Sus scrofa: one gene and its partners. The protein of the gene in region 2 interacts with the protein of the main gene of each other region in a pairwise test. Links are inferred from orthologs where the notes say so. Each region holds a gene or a part of one and is shown on either strand. Other genes may lie near its edges.

Region 1 (4,885 bases), on a different chromosome or scaffold from region 2:
ACTACAACGTAAGGAAACAAGTTATAAAACAAGAGGAAAAGAAACAAGAATCCCAAGAGGATTGCAGGTTTTCTCAGGAGACATGAGGTGTGGCCTGGGAGGCCAGTCCAGGGTGGGAGATGGCCAGGAGAAGAGGCATTTCTAGCATCGTGTTCCCCTCATCTCTTAGTCTCAAATCACACAGCTTCCTACCATGATAAAAATATCCAGAGCCTCCGTCATTTTAGCAAGATTTAATTAAAGCTGCCCTAAATTAAGAATATCTAGTCATTGTTTGCATTCCTAGAGGCCTATGTTTAGTTGAGTCGCACGTAAGCAAAGAGATGAAAAATTAGCTTAATTTTTTGGCTGCGGGGAAGAGTGTGAATTGGTTTTCTGTCACTTGTGGGGAACATCTTGTGTCTTCCCTCAGCTGGGTTTCTCTGATGGGATTGCTTCTTCCCACCCTCCTGAAGGTCTCTGAGGACAACTGCTGCTTGGCTATGACCTGAGGAAACCTGTAGGGCCCACAGACAGACCAGTTCAGGGTGGATGGGGTCAGGGAGCTCCTCTTGAGAACAGCTGTGCCCCCACCCCTGCCCCAGGTCTCTGGGCAACCAAAAGCTGACACCAAGTAGGTCACTTGATGGGAGTTTGTCACCCACAGCGCCAAGCTGAGCACTGGGGAGGTGTTCAGAAACCCACCTTACTGTCTCAAAAAAATGCATCAGGGAGACTTCCGGAATCACTGGGTGGGGTGGGGGAGAAAGGCTGTAGAGAGGCCATGAATGAAGTGTGTAAGAACAAATCTCTAGAATCAGCCCGTTTTGCTTTGAATCCCAGCTCTGTCTCTGGTTGGCTCTGTAACCGTGAACATGTTATTCCACCTTTCTGTGCCTACTTAACCTCAAAAAAATCGTAATTCATACCCCACAGGGTCATTGCGAAGATTAACCTAGTTTATAGCATGAAACCCTTGGAAGAATGCCTGGTGTATAGTGAATGACCAATAAATGTTAGCTTTGGTTATTATTATAAAGGAGCGCTACTTACCTCTGGGAACTCCCACTTGGTCTCCTGTGGCACCCCTCCCAGACACGGTACTTCCGAGTGCCTCTCTGTTTAAATACTGCAGAGCTTTTGCTTTATTTTAAATCCAGGAAGCTGACTGCCTTGATGGACTGACATGTAAGCCATGTGTGATCTGCAAGTAGGGAGCACTGTTAGAAGGATGGGACCCCATCAGTCATCGAGAGTTTGAGTCCACTAGTAAAAATGTTGTGGAAACAGCCTAGAGCGAAGAATCTTTCAGCAAACCCAGAGCAGACTCAGGCCCTGGAGTAACCATGGAAACAGAAGCCCCGAGAGGGATGGGTAAGTGGGTGGATGGATGGATCCATCAATGGGCGATGGATTGGTGATTGGGTGGGTGTCACTTTCACAGAAGAGTGAGGGCCTGTGGGCAGCAGCTGTGAGCACCTCTGAGCTGGGGGAGGTTGGGGGAGCTGGCAGTGTGTCCTAGGACAGACTGTTGGGCGTGGTAAAAAGCCAAACAAGACAGGGCAGAAAGAGAATCTTTCCCTGAGAGATTTTCCCCAAGTTCCCAGCCTAGGAACTTGGAGTAGAGGTCAAAGGAGGAGGACGGGAGTGGGTTTTCAGCCTTTGTGGCTTCCAAGTCTGGGTTCTGGCCCAAAGAGTCTGTGACCTACCTAATATCCTTTATTACATGTTTCTTCTGCCTAATTCTCTGCTGCTGGCAACCAAGAACTGGGACTGACACCCTTTTTCAGACCTGCAGTGTGGATAAGTTCAGCACTGAAAATGTCCTTCTGGGAAAAGGGAAACAAAGTCTTCTCTGATGCTGAGAAATCATCTCGGATCCAGCTCAGGACTTCCAGAGAAACAGGATGCCTCGGGCTTGTGTCCTGGAGTGAAGTCCTTCCAGCCAGGGATGCTTTCAGCTGTTTCATGGTAAGCTGTGAGTGGGGACTTTCCTGCACTCCCCCTGTCCCACTTTGGGAGAAATGGGCCCAGGATGTCCACCTGCCTCTATTCATCCACAAGCAACAAGGTGGGGTGCCCAGTTTCTCTCCTTCCTGCAACTTCCTCCTCCTCTCCCAGTTACACGGGGCCATGTCACTGATTTCTGGCCAAAGGAATGTGGGCAGGTGTGAAGTCTGCCCCTTCCAGACCTGGCCTTGGGAATACCTTGTTCCATCCTCCATGCTCACTTCCCTCATCTCCCATGTTAATGCAGATGGTCCCAGGGAAGGATTCCAAGGCCCTAGAATGAATAGAGCTCTAGATGGAAGGAACCCAGATTCTGGAATCACCAGGTGGAAAACTGCTACCAAACACCCAATTGGACTATAATATGAATAAGAAATGATACCTTTAACAGGTTAAGCCACTGGGATTAGGGGTTGTTGGTTATAGTGATTAACCTACCCTAATTAATCCTGTACTTGAGATCATGAAGAGATCAGATTTTGGAGCCAGAGAGACATGTTTGAGTCTAAACACCTCACTTCCTGGGCATCAGAAAAATGAGGATAGTAATAGTACCCAAGTGAGCACAGGAGGCAAGCAGAGAGTTTAGCACAGGGCTGATCACTTTATATTCAATAATTGGTACTAGTCATGGTTAACATTAAGCACTTACCTTGTGCCAGGCCTTGGTAGCTCTCTGATGCCTCTTGTAATTCTCACAATAGCCTTGTGAATTAGAGACTAGCATAGGTTTTTAAGGATGGGGACCATGAAGCATAGAGCGGGTAAATGTTTTGCTCAAGGATACATGTCCAGAAGAACTGGGCTAGGACCAAGCATTCTGGTCCTAGCGGCTTCCCTATACTGCTACCCTCCCCATCATCACTCTCAGCTTCATTTTCTCCACCATCTTCATCTTCTTCAGCCACCTGCCAAGGTGGATGGTTGCTAAGATGCCTCATTCCCTGAACACTGGTGAGTGCCTTAAGGTAAACAGTCCCTTTCTGAATATCCCCCTGGGCCCAGAGAGTAGGGCCAGGGGGAGGGGCTGGGGGCTTCAGCTGTCAGTCACCCAGAAAAGGGTCAGGAGAGGAGGGACAGGAGAAATGACAGGCCTGAGGCAGATGGAGAGGGAGCTCCTGGGGCTCCGGGGCTCAGACTCCACCCTGTGGGCTCTGAGGAGGGCCCGGGGTAGAGGGAAAGACAGCCAGACCCCAGAGGCAGGCAAGAGTGAGTCTGGGAGCCACGTCATCCTCCTGGTGATTTCTCTTGTGGTGACCTTAATTCTAAATGTAATCAAGTTTATCTTAATTTTTCCAGCTTTGTCCCAGGATATTCTGGGAATTTAGTGAAGGGCCCCAATGGAGGGATACCAAGGTGGGGCTCCTAGGGAGAGCCTCCCCAGGAGAAGGGTCCTGGAGCAGAAGGTGCAAAAGGTGGGACCTCGAAGTCTCAAACCCTCAGGAGCAGGATCTGTGCATGCTGGCTGTGGGACATCTGGCCCCCCCTTTTAGTAAGGGGCTCAGAGAGGAGCCCTTCAGAAGCAGTGTTCTCTCCCTTATTGACCTCCAGGGGCACCTAGGAGGAGTAGGAGCACCTAAGAGCTATAGGAGAAGAGGAGAGGGGCCTCTGGGGATAGAGCCAAACAGCCTAGGCAAGGAATCACACAATAAATTGTTTGGCACCCAGAAACAATGCAAAAGCTATATAAACATTTACTGTTGCCTCTCGAGAATATACTTAAAGAGGAATTGCATTCATAATGCAGCAAAAACTTCTAAGAACCCTTTGTTCTCCAACTTTTCTCTCAATCTCCTCCACTGGGCTCTTTCCTCCCGTCCCCCACACCCTTTTCCCAAGACTCAGCCCCACTTCCTCAGCGCAGGTGGCCCCACCTGCTTCCCTCTTCTCTTCCAGTCTGCCTCTGTCCGCAGCAGCTTCTCTGTGCCCTTTCCACCATAAATCCACCAGGACAGGCCTGCTAGCTCCCTTGTTCCTGGCCCCATTACCACCATCATCATAATAAAAGCTCAGAATGAAGCCTGTTCCAAGGAAGGAGGGAAGCCGATGTAATGATTTTGAGAGGCACCATCTCTGGGAGAACTGCAGGAGTCAGGGATTGAAGGGAGTGGGTGAAAAAGGCCCCCAGCCCTTTTGGTGCCCCTGTTTTGGGCAAGCACTGACCCTAGTCAGGCTAGGGGGTGGGTATTTACTGAGCTAAGACACAGCCCCTGCCCTTCGTGCTGATCCTTGGGCTGCTCTCAGGCACACAGCTCTGTACCAATCTCCCTAAAGACAAGGTGCTCAGGCTCTCAATCTCGGCTCCAGGCTCCACTTTGTGCTGACTTAAGGGGCTTCAAGAAACACTGATTCCACAAGCCCTTCACCAGAGATTCTAATTGAATTGGTGTGAGTTGAAGCCTCAGGCATCCAGAGGCATCGGTTATTTTAAAATCTCCACAAGTGTTTCCAATGTGCAGCCAGGAATGAGATCCATTAGGCTAATCAATTGCCTGGGAGAGCACCCTGGAGCCTGCAGGGCCCAGGCCACCGTTCCAGGCACAGCCACCCTTCCCCCTCCAGCTGCCTTCTTGCTCTACTGGGAGGAAGAAGAGGCGGGGCCAAGACTCTGGCTGGCACAGAATAATGAAAGACAGAAGACTAGTTTCATTCACTTATCATTCAATCATATATTCAATTAATAACTACTTAATACTTACATCAATAACTACTTAATATAAATGTGAAAGAAAGGGTAGAAATTGATTGAGGGATCCAATTTAGGTTGGGCAGTCAGGCCTCCCTGAGGAGGTAAGATTTATTTATTTATTTATTTATTTTTTTGTCTTTTGTCTTTTTGTTGTTGTTGCTATTTTTTGGGCCACTCCCGCGGCATATGGAGGTTCCCAGGCTAGGG
Region 2 (2,991 bases):
GGGGGCTTGAATAAGGTCCAGTTAGCCACTAAAGCCAAGGACAATGTAAAGATGGGATCTCTGCCCCCCTGAGAAATGTGAGTTTATCCCTGGGGCCCAGGGGGAGGGCAGAACTCTTCTGAAGGCCTCCTGCAGCCAGAACTCAAGCAGTGACACTTCTGCCCTCTCAGGCCAAGCCCCAATTCTCTACCCAGCAACGCCCCCCTGCCCTCCCCGTGCACGAGGGGCATGTTACAGGGCTGTGACACGAGGCGGAGGGGTGGGGGTGGGGGGGTCAAAGCCCCTCCTTGTGGGCCCCCATGCAACCTCCAGGGCTGAGTCAGAGCCTCAGCCAGTCTCAGGAGAAGCCCTCCTAGCCCCAGCCCGGCCTTAGTCTTGCTGAATGAGCCCAGGGCTGCGTTCCCCTTCCCTGGGACTCCATTTCCTCCTGAGCAAATGGCAACATTTCTGGTCCTGCCCAGGACATTTCCTCTGATTGAGTCCTTGCATCGCCTGACCTGGACAGGCTGCCGCAGAGTGGCTTCCCCACAGGCCAGAGCCTGCCCCCAAGGCGCACCCCCCACTCTGCCCCACAGGGATGAGGATGGTGCAGGAAGGGGCACCAGGGTCTTTGTCTGGATAGGCTGTCCCCACGTGAGTCCTGGGTGCAAGAAGCTCAGCCACCAGGGTTTGCTGCTATCACTAAACTTTTATTAAGAACATTCTCTGTGCAGAGCCCAATGCATGACATTGAAGAAAACAGGGACGACACAGCCAAGCCCCTGCCAAGGATGGAACAGAAGGGACACCGAGGGCCCCCAGGCAAGATGTGGCTCCAAGACGGTCACCGTGGAGCCCTGACAGGCAGGTAGGAAGCACCTACCCCTGGTGTTCCTGAGGCAATTGGATGCCACCCTCCTTGCCCTCCACGGGGGCTGCCTCTCAGCCCCCTCGGACCTTCCTCCACCTCCCAGCTGCTGCTGAAGGGTGGGGAGGAGACGGCAGGGGTGGCCGAGGGAAGGAAGGGGAGGAGGGGAGGGCTCCATGTGCAGGTGGCCTGCGTGAAGCATCACTGGCGCAGCCACAGCCAGAGGTTGGCAACGCAGACGGATACCAGCATGGTGAAGAAGAGGGTCTCCCTGTGGCGCCAGGTGGCGCCCTGGTCCTCCAGGGCCCGCAGCCGCCCGGTGATCACTTGCAGCTGCCAAGAGACCAGAGCTGGCAGGTGAGCAAGGCCATTCCGGGGAAGCCTGCGCACACCGGCGGGGGGAAGAAGTGTGACCTCAGAGCAGGAAGGGGGTCTGGACCAGAAGGAGGCCGGGCAGCTGAGGCCAGGGTGTAGGGTGGGCCCCGCCGCCTCGCCCCCACTTTGGGGACCTTCCTCTTGTCTGGAAGAAGCCAGCCCATCCCAGCTGTGCCACCGCAGAGTGAGGGCCATAGGATGAGGTGACACTTAGGGGCCAGAGAGGGGCTGCCAGGGAAGTTGTCCCCCAGGCCCGTGCCCCTGCCTGTTGGGGTCGCTTCCTGAGAAGACGCGGGCTTGGTCTGAAGGAAGGTGACCCCTCACTCAGATGTCTTGGCATGGCTCTTTCAGCACCAGTTTCTCCTGTGCCCCCATGTCCTCTCTTCCCCCCCCTCACGCCCCCCCTTCTTCCTTCCAGCATCTCGGGGAGAGACACAGGGTTGGGGCTGGGCATCAGGATAGATACGGGAGCCAAGGGGACTGGGGGGAGGGAAGGGCGACCTGGATGTCACCGTCACCTCCACCGCTAGAGGATAATGCGACTGGCAAGGCTGAGCATCGCCAAGGCGGGTGTCGAGGCCCCGCCTGCCCCAGGGCACTGGGCCTCGGCCTCCACCCTCCGCGTGGCTCCCCGGCAATCCGACGCTCACCTGTCTTCTCATGATTTCCATCTCCAGCCCGTTTAGCTCCTCCAGGCCAATCTCAGCGATCACGTCTGCCCCCAGGTTGCTGGGAAAAAAGACAAGAGTGAGAGTCAGAGCTCCTGGGAGACCCCCATCGATCGGGTCCTTCCCCCCCTGGTAAGCAGGTCCTGGGGCCTGAAGACTGGGAGCGGCCCAGTCGCAGGGGCCCCAAGCAAGCCAGGGGCCAGGAGGCAACGGAGCCCGAGCCCCGCTGGCACGGCCAGCTGCTCACGCTCCCCCCTGGCCAGCCTGCCTGCCAGCCCCTGTGGCCCAGCCTTGTCCCTGGGACCCTTCTTACCGCTCGTAAAGGAACCCCATGCCTTGGAAGCCGCCCTCCTGGTTTGGTTCTTGGGACGCTTTCTTTGGTGGCAGCTGGGGCCCCTAGAGAAAGGAACGGTCAGGCAGAGCAGCCTGGACAGAGGGCCCAGCGGAGCAGTTGCCCCGCACTCTGTCCAGGACCCACTGGAAGTGCTTGGGAACCCCACGAGGTGGCCGCCGGCCACACCCCGCATGGACCACGCTCCTCAAGAGCTCTTGGCCACCCAGGCTATGATGAAAGAAGAGCAGTGACGGTGTCCCTGCCCTCTGCCAGCACTGTCACATGCAGACACCGGCTGATCTGAGCAATGACTGAAGGAGAAAGAGGGAAAAGCCCCATTTCAAAACCAAGAAAACTGAGGCCTAGCGAGGTGACCACACTCCCTACGGACGCACAGTAAGAGCCGGGGCCCGGGGAAACCGTAGCTTCCTCCTCTGGGGGAGCCCAGCCATCCGCGCGGTCTTCATTTTTATCCACCTGTCGAGGCCTCCCTGGAATAGGAGTCCCTGGCCCAGCACTCTGGGGTCGGAGTGTCTCCTGCCTTGAAGAGCCAGTGTGGGCTAGAAAAGAACATTCCAGACCTGCCTGGATTCAAATCTCAACTGGAGGGCAAGTTGCTCAACACACACTTACCACACGTCAGGGACCACACCATCCTGTAAGCCTTCACCAATACCAAGTCATTAAAGCCTCATCACAACCCTTCCAAAGGGGTATGGCCATCAGCCCATTTTGAAAGATAGGAAAACTGAGGCACCGAGGTCCAA
Region 3 (4,854 bases), on a different chromosome or scaffold from region 2:
CTTTGGCTGTGGCTTAAGCCAGCAGCTGTAGCTCCAATTGGACCCCTAGCCTGGGAACTTCCATTAAAAAAATTTTTTTTTAAATAATAAAATGAAAGCTGGGCCCTGGGTGGGCAGAAAGTCCAGCCGTAGCCTAGGCTGGAGTTCTCCCTCTCAGAAAACAAAACTGGCCCCTAAGCCAAGACCTAGACAAGCACAACTGCACGGACAGGCTAGACCAGAGGCAGGCTGCTCCTGTCCTTTGGGGGCTGGGGAAACCGCAAGTGACCTTTTTCAGATATCCTCAGCTTCTTCATCTGATAAATGGAAAGACCCATTCTCTACCTCAAATGAGTTCATCTGCTCAGCGGAGTGGTTCAGATGAGAGCATGCTCTGAGCAGGAGAGGATCCAGGAACAGTGGCAAGTTTATGTTCTCAGCTGACATATCTTTCCATCTGAGCAGGCCCAGGAGGGCACAGCCTTAGCTCTGGGATCTGGAGGGAGAAACTGCCTGCGCTTTGCCCTGCTGCTAAGAGGGAGATGGGACCGTGCTCAGGTGGGTAAAGACAGAGCACAGGAGGTGCTCCTTCCAAGCCTCCACCCCCATGCCCCCTTCCAGGTGCACTGGGACCTGAGCTTCTCTCTGGGCTGCTGCCCACCCACAGGAGCCAGGACCACAGAGGGAACTTCAGGGAGCGCCTGCTGCTCTGGCACCACCTCCAACTCCAGCCTTCAGCAAACTCCACCCCGGGGCCTAGCAGAGGAAGAGGTGCCTCCTCAGGGGCCAGGGATGGGTGTGCAAGGGTGGGGGAGGGGGAGGGTCTGCACCAAGTAGGGTTATAACCGACCTTGACCCCTCGCCCCCGCCCCCGCCCCCCAGGTGCAGCCAGTGCCGGCCTGGCCGGGGCGCCTGGCACCTCTCTGCCTGGGACAGAAGTGGACTCACAGATTCTTTTCCTAAATTACTTTTGACTCCCTTTCTGGTACTTGTTTCTTAGTCAGTTCTTTATGAAATCCAAACTGAAAACACCCCTTCCCCAGCAGCCCTCAAGGTCTGAAATTTTAAAAAATAATAAATCTGGGAGGCGCCCTGCCTCGCTCCGCCCCGCTCCCCATTCTCCTCACCAGGATAATGCCCGCCCCCACCGCCCGCCGCCCACGTTTCCTCTTCATTCCGGCTGCCCAGGGCCAGCCCTGCGAGCAAAGCAGACCTGTTTGACGCTGGGCGGGGTCCAGCGTCTGGGCCCCCGCGCCTGGTTTCTCCTGGATGGTTGGCTGGTTAAGACTCAGGCCTATAAAGTAGGACCTTAGGAACCTCAAAAAACAAAACCAAAAAGAAAGAAAGAAAAAATAAAAATCCAAGAATTGGCGCCTGGGGAGGCCTTTAGGACCGAGGGAAGCCATCTCTTCTCCGATCCGGGAGGCAAATCCGCCCTCCTAGTCCCCAGCGGACGCCCCTTCCCCCAGCCTCTGTCACCCACATTCCCAAACACCAGCCCCGGGCCACCTGCCAGACGCGATCCCCAGCGGGGCCCGGCGGCCTGGGGCAAAGTTGGCGCCGCCTCAGCGCGGGGACGTTCCCTCCTCCTCCTCCTCGCTGCCATCCCAGAGCCCTCGGCCGCCGCCTCCCGCACGCGTGTCTCCAGGCTCGAGAGCCAAGCGGCGCGCCTGGGCGCCCCTCGCCCACCCGCCGGCCGGGCGCGCGCCGAGGAGCCTTCCCGCACCCTCCTCGCCCGAGAGCCCAGGGGGCCAGGCTCCACCCCGTCGCCGCTGCAAGGGAGCCCCAGCCGCCCCGGCCGGCGCCGCTGCCCCGCGCCCAGCGCTCCAGTAAGCGCGGGGCAGCCGCGGGCGCGGGCGGCCAGCGTAGGGCCGAGCGGCGCGGAGGTAGCAGAGGGGAGGGCCGGGCGGCGGGGGAGGGAGCCGGGAGCAGAGGCGGGCGCCGCACCTCCCCGCGCCCGCGCTCGCTCCCTCCAGAGACGAGCCGGCAGCCGCCTGGGCGCACCAGCGGGTCACCTTGTCCGGGAGGTAAGTCCCTGCCGCCCCGGCAGCGCGGGCAGCAGAGGGGCCGGCGGGGCGGGTGGCGAGCGGGCGGCGGCTCCCGCGCGGAGAAGCGTCCTGGCTCCGCCTCGGAGCGCGAAGACCGGCGGCGGCGCGGCGCCTGAGTGAGTCGGGGTGGCCCGGGCGGCGGGACCCGAGAGGCGTGGGGTCGCCAAGCGCCGGGGAGAGCGGAGCGGGCGGGTAAGATGCGGAGGAAGGGACCGGGTGCTGGCAGCCTGGGCTGCAGCTTGGCGCCTCGCCACTCCGGGCGCCCCGGACGCGCGGAGGGACGGCTTGGAGAAGTCGGAGGGAGCTGCTAAGACCGAGACCCGGGAGCGCGGCGGTGCGGCGCTGCCCGAGGGGCGGGGGTGGAGGAGCGCGGCAGGCATTGGCTCCGCGGGCCCGGGAGACCCCCTCGAGCGACCCAGAGGAGACCGGCTGGGGCTGGTAAGCAGAGCCACCGCGGAGCTGGGGACCGAGATGGACGGGAAAGGAAGCGGGCTTCTATTCGCCGTGCAGAGGGGGAAAAGGAAGGCGATGTTGAGAGCGCGCTGGGCATGGGGACTCCCTACCAGCGACCCGGCGGGGGCGGGGACTCCGGGAGCCCCTCGCGTCGGCGGGCTGTCTGGTCCCTGGCAGCTGAGACAGCCAGCCGCCCTGGGAGCCGCCAGCCACTGCGCGGAGAGGGACCGAGTGGATGCGCTTTCGGGTTCAAGTTCTGGTCTCGATTTCCCTCGGTGAGATCTCTGCCTCTTCTTGTGCCCTCTCCAAGGTGCGGGGAGAGGATTACGGGCAGAACTGGGCACTTTTCCTGGGGAAGGGCTTTGATCGCGATGCGTTTTCCGAAAGACTCCAGTGGAGTGGGCGCTTACAGCCTTGCTTTGAGGAGGCTGCCAGTGGGATCACTTGGCTTTTTTGAAGCAAGGCAGGAAGGGGTCCTCTGGTCGCCTTCCTTTCTTTGGGGGTCCCCTTGCACGCCCTGGCTTGGGCATCTAGCTCCCAGACTTCAGGTGCGCACAGCCCTTCTGCGGTGTCAGATGCCCTGGCGCCAGGCTCCTGGCTGGACTCATGTCTGCGCCTTCCCTGGCCACTTCCCGGTTCAGTGCAGCAGACACTGGCTGGGGGCTTGGCTGATTTAGGGGCTGGGGTAGGTGGCTCCGTTTTTCAATTCGAATCAGGCTCAGGCGGTGGGGTGAGCATGGGGTCGGTGTATCTGTGGCCCCCCTCCTACCAGCCAGCATGTTTGGTCAGAGCCCAAAGGGAGCGGCTGCTGCGCAGACCTGCAGCCTGTGGGGTGAGCCCATAACAAACCCTGGAGCCAGCCAACTTTCCTTGCTGAGGGGAGACTGCCAGGCCCCGGGGTATTGGTGCTGGCATGTGGGTCCCCTGGGCCTCAGGGGCCCATTCCCTAAATGCTCACCGCAGCCAGAGTGGGAAGTGGTGGTCTGATGCCCAGTCTGGCTAGGACAGGAAGTGGCTGGAACACATTTTCAGATGAATTATTGCCTTATTGCTGTGTGCCGGGTGGTTGTGGAGAATGTCTTTTTGGTGATCGGACCACAGGTACGGGCCTCTGAGACCTCTGAGGGTGAGCCCTCCGCAAACCCCCAACCCCAGGGGCAAATGTTGACTTGTCGCTGATCTGGTGCCCTCTCCCACCCTGCCCCCACCTACTGCATGAAAATGGAATTGTCATAAGCAAGAGGGCCTTGTTAAGTAAAAGGGAACCTGGGGGGATCTGTCTCTAAGTTTTTTATAGAGGAAAATGTCCGTGGTGCACCAAGGAGGGGAGAGCAATGCACTAACCCTGCAGTGTCCCCTCACCCGCCCTTCGCTCCCGTCCCAACCCCGCCCCGCAGTTTAGGGGACCGTGTCTGAGGAAGGACCTGGAAACCCTTCCCACTTCACTGCACCTCCACATGCAGCCCCTTGAATCTCCAGCTGATGACACTTCATTTCATCTTCATCTAACCAGCATCAGAAACAACTTTGAATGTTTGCCGTAGAAATAGGTGATATTAAAATAGAAATGAAGGTGCCCCTTGTCCGTTTGGGCGTAGAAAAGAAAACTACCAACGTTCCTTAAGGCATGAAGAAGGGAGTTCGAGCAGGAGAAATTCAGATCCTGAGAAGAGAGACATTTGAAACAATTACATTTGGCTAGTGCAGGGGATAAACGGATTCCACTTGAACCACAATGAGCAGAATATTTTTTTTCTGGTTTAAAAAAAAAAAGGAAAAAAACTTTTAAAACTCTATTCATCAATCCTAAGCAATTTATTTCTACCACACTTCGCATCAGCAGAAATTAAAAGCACTGCTCTGAATTGACTGCCCTTTCTCGTTAGCTCTAACGCATGTCTTCTCAAGATTATTACTGTTATTAGAGAATACAAAGCTATTTTCTTATGTAAGTTTTCTATGGGAGACGCTAGTGGGTGCTGTTCTGAGGTTCAAGCGAGGGCTGAATAGTTTATCTCTCAACTAGAGACGTTTGCCTGTCACCTGCCCCATGGAGACGCCCCCTGGAGACTGGGCTCACTCAGGTGGATTCCGAATGTGGGGATCGGTTGGCTGGAAAAGGTAGCCAGGGGCCGGCTTCCAGAGACCATGGAAGGGGGTCCCTGCCTCCCCATACCTCCCCACCTTCCCTAACAGAAAAGCCGTTCCTAAAAATTGTCCTCCACATGCTTGCAGGCTGCAGCCAAGCTTGTGAACCCCTTTGTAAGGTGCCTTTACAGAGGAACGTAGCTGACCTTTTGGGATGCGAGTAACCATCCTGCTGGCCAGCATCTTTATGTAAACCCAGCATAACCCTAGGCCCTCCTGTTGGCCT
Region 4 (4,846 bases), on a different chromosome or scaffold from region 2:
GGTGTAACCCAGTGTGTTCCCACCGGAGCCCTGTACGGAACGGAAGTGTAAACTTCCCGCGGGGGCCTCGTGTCCTCTCTGCTGGCTCAGAGAGCTGAGCCTAATGAAATAAAAAATACTAACTGTAACAAAGGATGCTGCCTCCAGGATGGCTCCTGTGCTTGTGGCTGGGCCCTGTTTTACTCGTCCCTGAGCCTCTCCGTCACCCCCACCCTCATCCCCGTGGGATCTCGGAGTTGAATCACAGATCTCCAAAGCGAATTACACCCCGACAAGTAACCCAAGTCCTCACCCTCGCCCACTCCCTTCCGCCGGGAGGGGAGCGCAGAATGATCACCAGGAGGCCAGGAACAAAACACTTAAATGTTGCATTTATTAGGTAAATGTTAAAAAAAAAAAGTCAAAACGGTGTCACGAATGTCAAGAGCACTTTTGTGGCGTAAACCGTGCAGTCACGAGCTATGAGTTCTATTCTGGGTCTTTGCCTGGGGGCCAACAGGAGTGCCAGCCCCCGCAAAAGACCTAGTGGGAAATGTGATAAAAGAAACAACTCACCGTGTTCACATTCGCAGGCTACCCCTCCCCCACCCCTTCTCCCAACACAAAACTCTAACCCGCAGGCAGGCAAACGGGCCACTAGGGCAGAAAAAAATACTTATCAAATATTTGTATTCAAGCAAACAAACACAAAATCCCTTAAAACAGCACGTTACAATCAATCAAAAGTATTTATCGCCTCTCCTGCCAGGGCTGGGAGGAGCGCGAGGGAATGGGCGCGAACCCGGACACGGATTTGTGTGTCCGCATTAGTTCTGTTGAGTGGCGTATATGGGTCAGTTTTCCGGTCACCAGGCAATCGGTGCCGCTGGTGTCTCCATGCCCGCCCTCTCCACCTGCCCCCAGAGCTTGGCCCACCTGCGGGTGGAAAGAGGCCTCGGCCGGGTTGGTCTCCCCGCATCCCGCGCTAGCGGCAGCTTCCAAAGTTCTGCGCCCTAATCGCTTTCTTTTTGACACTTGCTGCTGAGTCCAGTCAGGGCTCTCTCCTCCAGCCAGGCCTGGGGACTTTGGGAGGGCGAGCGAGAAACGTGTTGCTTCATTCCGAAAGGCAGAAGTCAACAGAAATAATTGACTCCCGACAGGTTTTCTTCTCCTAGTCTCGGATGGTGAGGGGGCGCGGCCGGGCTGGAGAAGTGGGGCGGCTGCCGCGGGGGTCGGGGACCGGTCAGTAGGGCCCCACGACCACTGCCTCCACCTCCTTAGACGGTCTCCGGTCCTTCACCAGGAAGTTGATCATGCCCTCGGACTTGATGAGGAGGTTGCAGCCAAGGAAGAAGATGCCAAAGACCACGGTGAGCGAGAGCACGCACATGACGGCGATCTGCACCACTCGCATGATGTACAGGCTGCGCTCGTCCGGGCCGCCCTCCGCGAAGCCGTCGTCGGTCACCACGGACGCCTGGGTGCAGCAGCGCACCGCGCGCTCCAGCGCCTCGCTGCTGTTGGCCAGGAACAGACCTGCCACATCAGTCTGGTTGCCCAGGGCTGGATTCATCGCGGGAGCGGGCGGGCGCCCGGGGAGGCGCGGGTCCGAGGGGTGGGAAGGCGGTGGCGCGGAAGAAACAGGTGAGCTGAGCGCTCACTTGCCGACTTGCGGGCGCGGGGGTTGTTCGCCCTCTCCTTTCCAAAGTCTCCGAGCCGTGGGAGTTCCCCCGGAGCCTTTGCGACGCGCGCCGCAGCCTGGCTAGTCTGAGCGGTCCGATCCTGCCCGGGAGACGCTCCTTCCCGGAGATGGCTCGACTGGGGGCTGTTGGAACTTGGCGGGGCTGGGCCAGCGGGGCCGTGGGAGGTGCGGACCGCGGCGGCAAGGCGGCTGCTCTGAGTGAACAGCGGCCCCTTCCGGCCGCGCCGCCGCTGTGCGCCCGCCGCGGTTGGACTGTAGGAGAAGCAAAGGGGTAAACCTCTTCTTGTAGCTTTCCTGCTTCGCTTCTGGTCCAGCTCCAAAGGCTAGGCTGAAGTCTCTGTAATTTTCTGGCTTGAAGGATGATTGAAGTTTCGGGTGGGGGAAGAGTTGCGACTGGCCGAAAGTTTCCTAAGAACTGGGTCACACCAGCTCAGCATGTCCTTTGCCTCCCGCCTCTCTCACCTCCGGGAGGTGGAAAGTAGCAATGAGTCGCAGATGCCAGATGCTGCTGGCAAATGCACGGACCCGCCGCCTGTGCCTGACTTTGTCTCGCTTGCGACAGATTTCTAGTGTAGTAGGGGTGTATTTTTTTAAAAAGCAACGATTTTAGGAAGAAAGAAAAGCAGGGAGGGAAGGAAGACGGGAAAGAAGAAAGGAAGAAAGGGAGGGAGAGAAGAAGCAATTGGAAGAGTAAGGCCGTTTTTATAGTGACTTTTGAGGGAAAGGAAAGGGAGTTAGGGGAAGGAAAGGTTCTTAGGTGGCCTTTGTGTAGAAGCGGTTGGCAGAAATAGGGTCACCTCTCTGGTAAGGGAGGGGGGAAGTGGACAGAATGGCCACCCTTGTAATCTTAATTGCCAATGAGTTTTTGGATGTACTTCCAGTGTTTTGCTCTGTTGGCAGTAAATCACTTGTTTAAGGGAATTGCTCATCAACATCCATTACTTAGAATACTGGCCAGCTGCTGGAAGCCCTCCCCATTTTCCGTAAGCTAATGTATTTCACCTTAGTCATTTAAACAAAATTGCAGATGTTCTAGGGGTCTGATTGAGGCTTCAGCCCATTGTGATTTTGCTTCTGGTTTCAGTGAAATGTTACAAACCTGTTAGCTTGTTTCTTGAGTTCTAGAAGAATACTTTAGAGTTTTTAAAATTTTTTTTCTACTTTTTTTCTTCTTCTTTCCCTTCCTTTTTCTTTCAAGTGTGGCAGCTGGAAATTTGAAGTAATTTGAAGTCTAGTCCAAACTTTTGATAGAATACCTTTATTATATTTCTATTAAAACAAAGTAGCTGCCTTGCCATTTTCAACCCTTTTTCTGAATTCTGTTATATTCTCTTGTTAAACGCTCTGATTTTTGTCTCCCCAAACATAATTAACTCCATTTTCACAGGTTTCAGTGTGTTTTTGTACTACTTTGTGAGCACAATAGAGTGAACTGCATTTTAGCAGAGAGTTTTCAACTTTTGGATGTTAATTTTTATGTCAGCTCTATTAAGTTTAGACCCTTCTAAATAGCTTTTTTAATTTTTTTTTTAATTTTGGGGGGGTGTTTAATAGCTCAAGACCCAGGCTTCTGGGCCTCATCCACAATTCACCTGGGTTATTGTTCTAGTTTCCCATGGTTATAATTGTCTTGAAGAATGCTTCTTTCCCGACAGTTGCTTCTTTGGATAAATTTATTATTTATTGATTAAAAAAAACTTATTTAAATATCACTCTATCGTCAGCCTTAGTTCATATGGGTGATACCTAACAGTAAAACAATACCTATGTGAGAAAATCATAGAATAATTTAAGATAATATAAGGCAATACTAAAATGAATGGTAGAGGCAAGTAGTAGGAGTTTGGAAAAGCAAAAGATGGAGAATAGAGGTCAACTTTAAGGGATATTAGCTTGTACAGGATTGTGTGTTTAATACAAGTTGGATATGGATGAGTAGAAAGAATACTCCCTTTTTATGTGACAGAAACAAGTAGAATTATAGTATATTTGTCAGGTCCAGTTACGAAAAGTTCCTAAGACTGCTAATTGAATCATTTCAGAATCTGAGCATATTTATTGATATTAACAATATTAATGTTTTAGTCAGAAGTCAGTGTAAACATGAGCAAAATTTGAAGTCCAGTGGAGGTTCTGTAATGTTAAACCTCTAGATTTGAGAAATACATTCTTAAAAGAAATTAGGTAATACTCTGACTTCATTTTCTTTCAGCTTTAACCACTAACAGCCACAAAATTATAGATAAGATAATGGTTATTCCCATCAGCTAGTTCATATCTCTGGGGAAGTGGTTTTGTTTCCTTGAGCCCTCTGCCCCAACCAGCCTGATTTTGTTGAATAAAATTTCTCAGAGTATTTAGATGGACATTAACTATAAAGTTAGTAGTACAAAACTCTCATTTATCACTCACTTATTACTGGATTTAAGGGGATTAAACTGCTAGAGCTTTTCAACAGAAATTGTCTTTCCCTTTTGTATTTTGAGGGAACATTTTTCTCTCAGCTTCACTCCTGTTATTCATCTATTTCCAAGAAAAATCTTAAGAGATGTGGCAAATAATACTCTAAAAATGTTTACGTAGAAAAACAGATGGCAATATGAAGTGGAGTAATTTACTGATAATTCACCTCAAAGAAAAGGATTTTGATACATACAACAATTCATTATTATTTTTAAATAACTACCTCTCCTACGTTATTGGAGAGAATGTTTGATTTCAACAAGTTAAATGCTCAGCATTTCACAATATACATATTACACAAGAAAGGAAACATTTTTCTGTTCTTTCCAGAAAATATATCTGTGGCATATAGTAAATTCTATAAAGATATTCCAGGGTGGAGTTCCCATTGTGGCGCAGTGGTTGACGAATCCGACTAGGAACCATGAGGTTGTGGGTTCGGTCCCTGCCCTTGCTCAGTGGGTTGACGATCCGACGTTGCCGTGAGCTGTGGTGTAGGTCGCAGATGCGGCTCGGATCCCGCGTTGCTGTGGCTCTGGTGTAGGCTGGTGTCTACAGCTCCGATTCAACCCCTAGCCTGGGAACCTCCATATGCCGCGGGAGCGGCCCAAGAAATGGCAGGGAGACAAAAAAAAAAAAAAAAAAAAAAAGATATTCCAGGGTGATATTGATGGGCCTCTGTGAGCAGTAGTCACTGGATAT

What was found. The genes of interacting proteins can lie anywhere in the genome.
Region 1: the proteins of FATE1 (region 2) and KCNS2 interact in binary tests that used the Homo sapiens proteins (3 or more experiments, as listed by UniProt). The two-hybrid records come from large-scale screens. The link is inferred for Sus scrofa from reciprocal best matches to the Homo sapiens genes FATE1 and KCNS2.
Region 3: the proteins of FATE1 (region 2) and SYNDIG1 interact in binary tests that used the Homo sapiens proteins (3 or more experiments, as listed by UniProt). The two-hybrid records come from large-scale screens. The link is inferred for Sus scrofa from reciprocal best matches to the Homo sapiens genes FATE1 and SYNDIG1.
Region 4: the proteins of FATE1 (region 2) and RPRM interact in binary tests that used the Homo sapiens proteins (3 or more experiments, as listed by UniProt). The two-hybrid records come from large-scale screens. The link is inferred for Sus scrofa from reciprocal best matches to the Homo sapiens genes FATE1 and RPRM.

The regions. Positions count from the first base shown.
Region 1 is NC_010446.5:38,371,352-38,376,236, reverse strand, and holds the start of KCNS2 (potassium voltage-gated channel subfamily S member 2), read left to right. Parts: upstream 1-1,821; 5' UTR 1,822-1,837; coding exon 1,838-1,950; intron 1,951-4,885. UniProt on the Homo sapiens protein: Potassium channel regulatory subunit that modulate the delayed rectifier voltage-gated potassium channel activity of KCNB1 and KCNB2 by altering their kinetics, expression levels, and shifting the half-inactivation potential to more polarized values.
Region 2 is NC_010461.5:123,110,856-123,113,846, reverse strand, and holds the end of FATE1 (fetal and adult testis-expressed transcript protein homolog), read right to left. Parts: intron 2,287-2,991; coding exon 2,204-2,286; intron 1,952-2,203; coding exon 1,873-1,951; intron 1,181-1,872; coding exon 1,049-1,180; 3' UTR 669-1,048; downstream 1-668. UniProt on the Homo sapiens protein: Involved in the regulation of endoplasmic reticulum (ER)-mitochondria coupling. Negatively regulates the ER-mitochondria distance and Ca(2+) transfer from ER to mitochondria possibly implicating it in the regulation of apoptosis.
Region 3 is NC_010459.5:30,619,832-30,624,685, forward strand, and holds the start of SYNDIG1 (synapse differentiation-inducing gene protein 1), read left to right. Parts: upstream 1-1,790; 5' UTR 1,791-2,006; intron 2,007-2,210; exon of another isoform or gene 2,211-2,465; intron 2,466-2,641; exon of another isoform or gene 2,642-2,790; intron 2,791-4,854. UniProt on the Homo sapiens protein: May regulate AMPA receptor content at nascent synapses, and have a role in postsynaptic development and maturation.
Region 4 is NC_010457.5:61,140,334-61,145,179, forward strand, and holds RPRM (protein reprimo), read right to left. Parts: upstream 3,065-4,846; 5' UTR 1,553-3,064; coding exon 1,223-1,552; 3' UTR 354-1,222; downstream 1-353. UniProt on the Homo sapiens protein: May be involved in the regulation of p53-dependent G2 arrest of the cell cycle. Seems to induce cell cycle arrest by inhibiting CDK1 activity and nuclear translocation of the CDC2 cyclin B1 complex.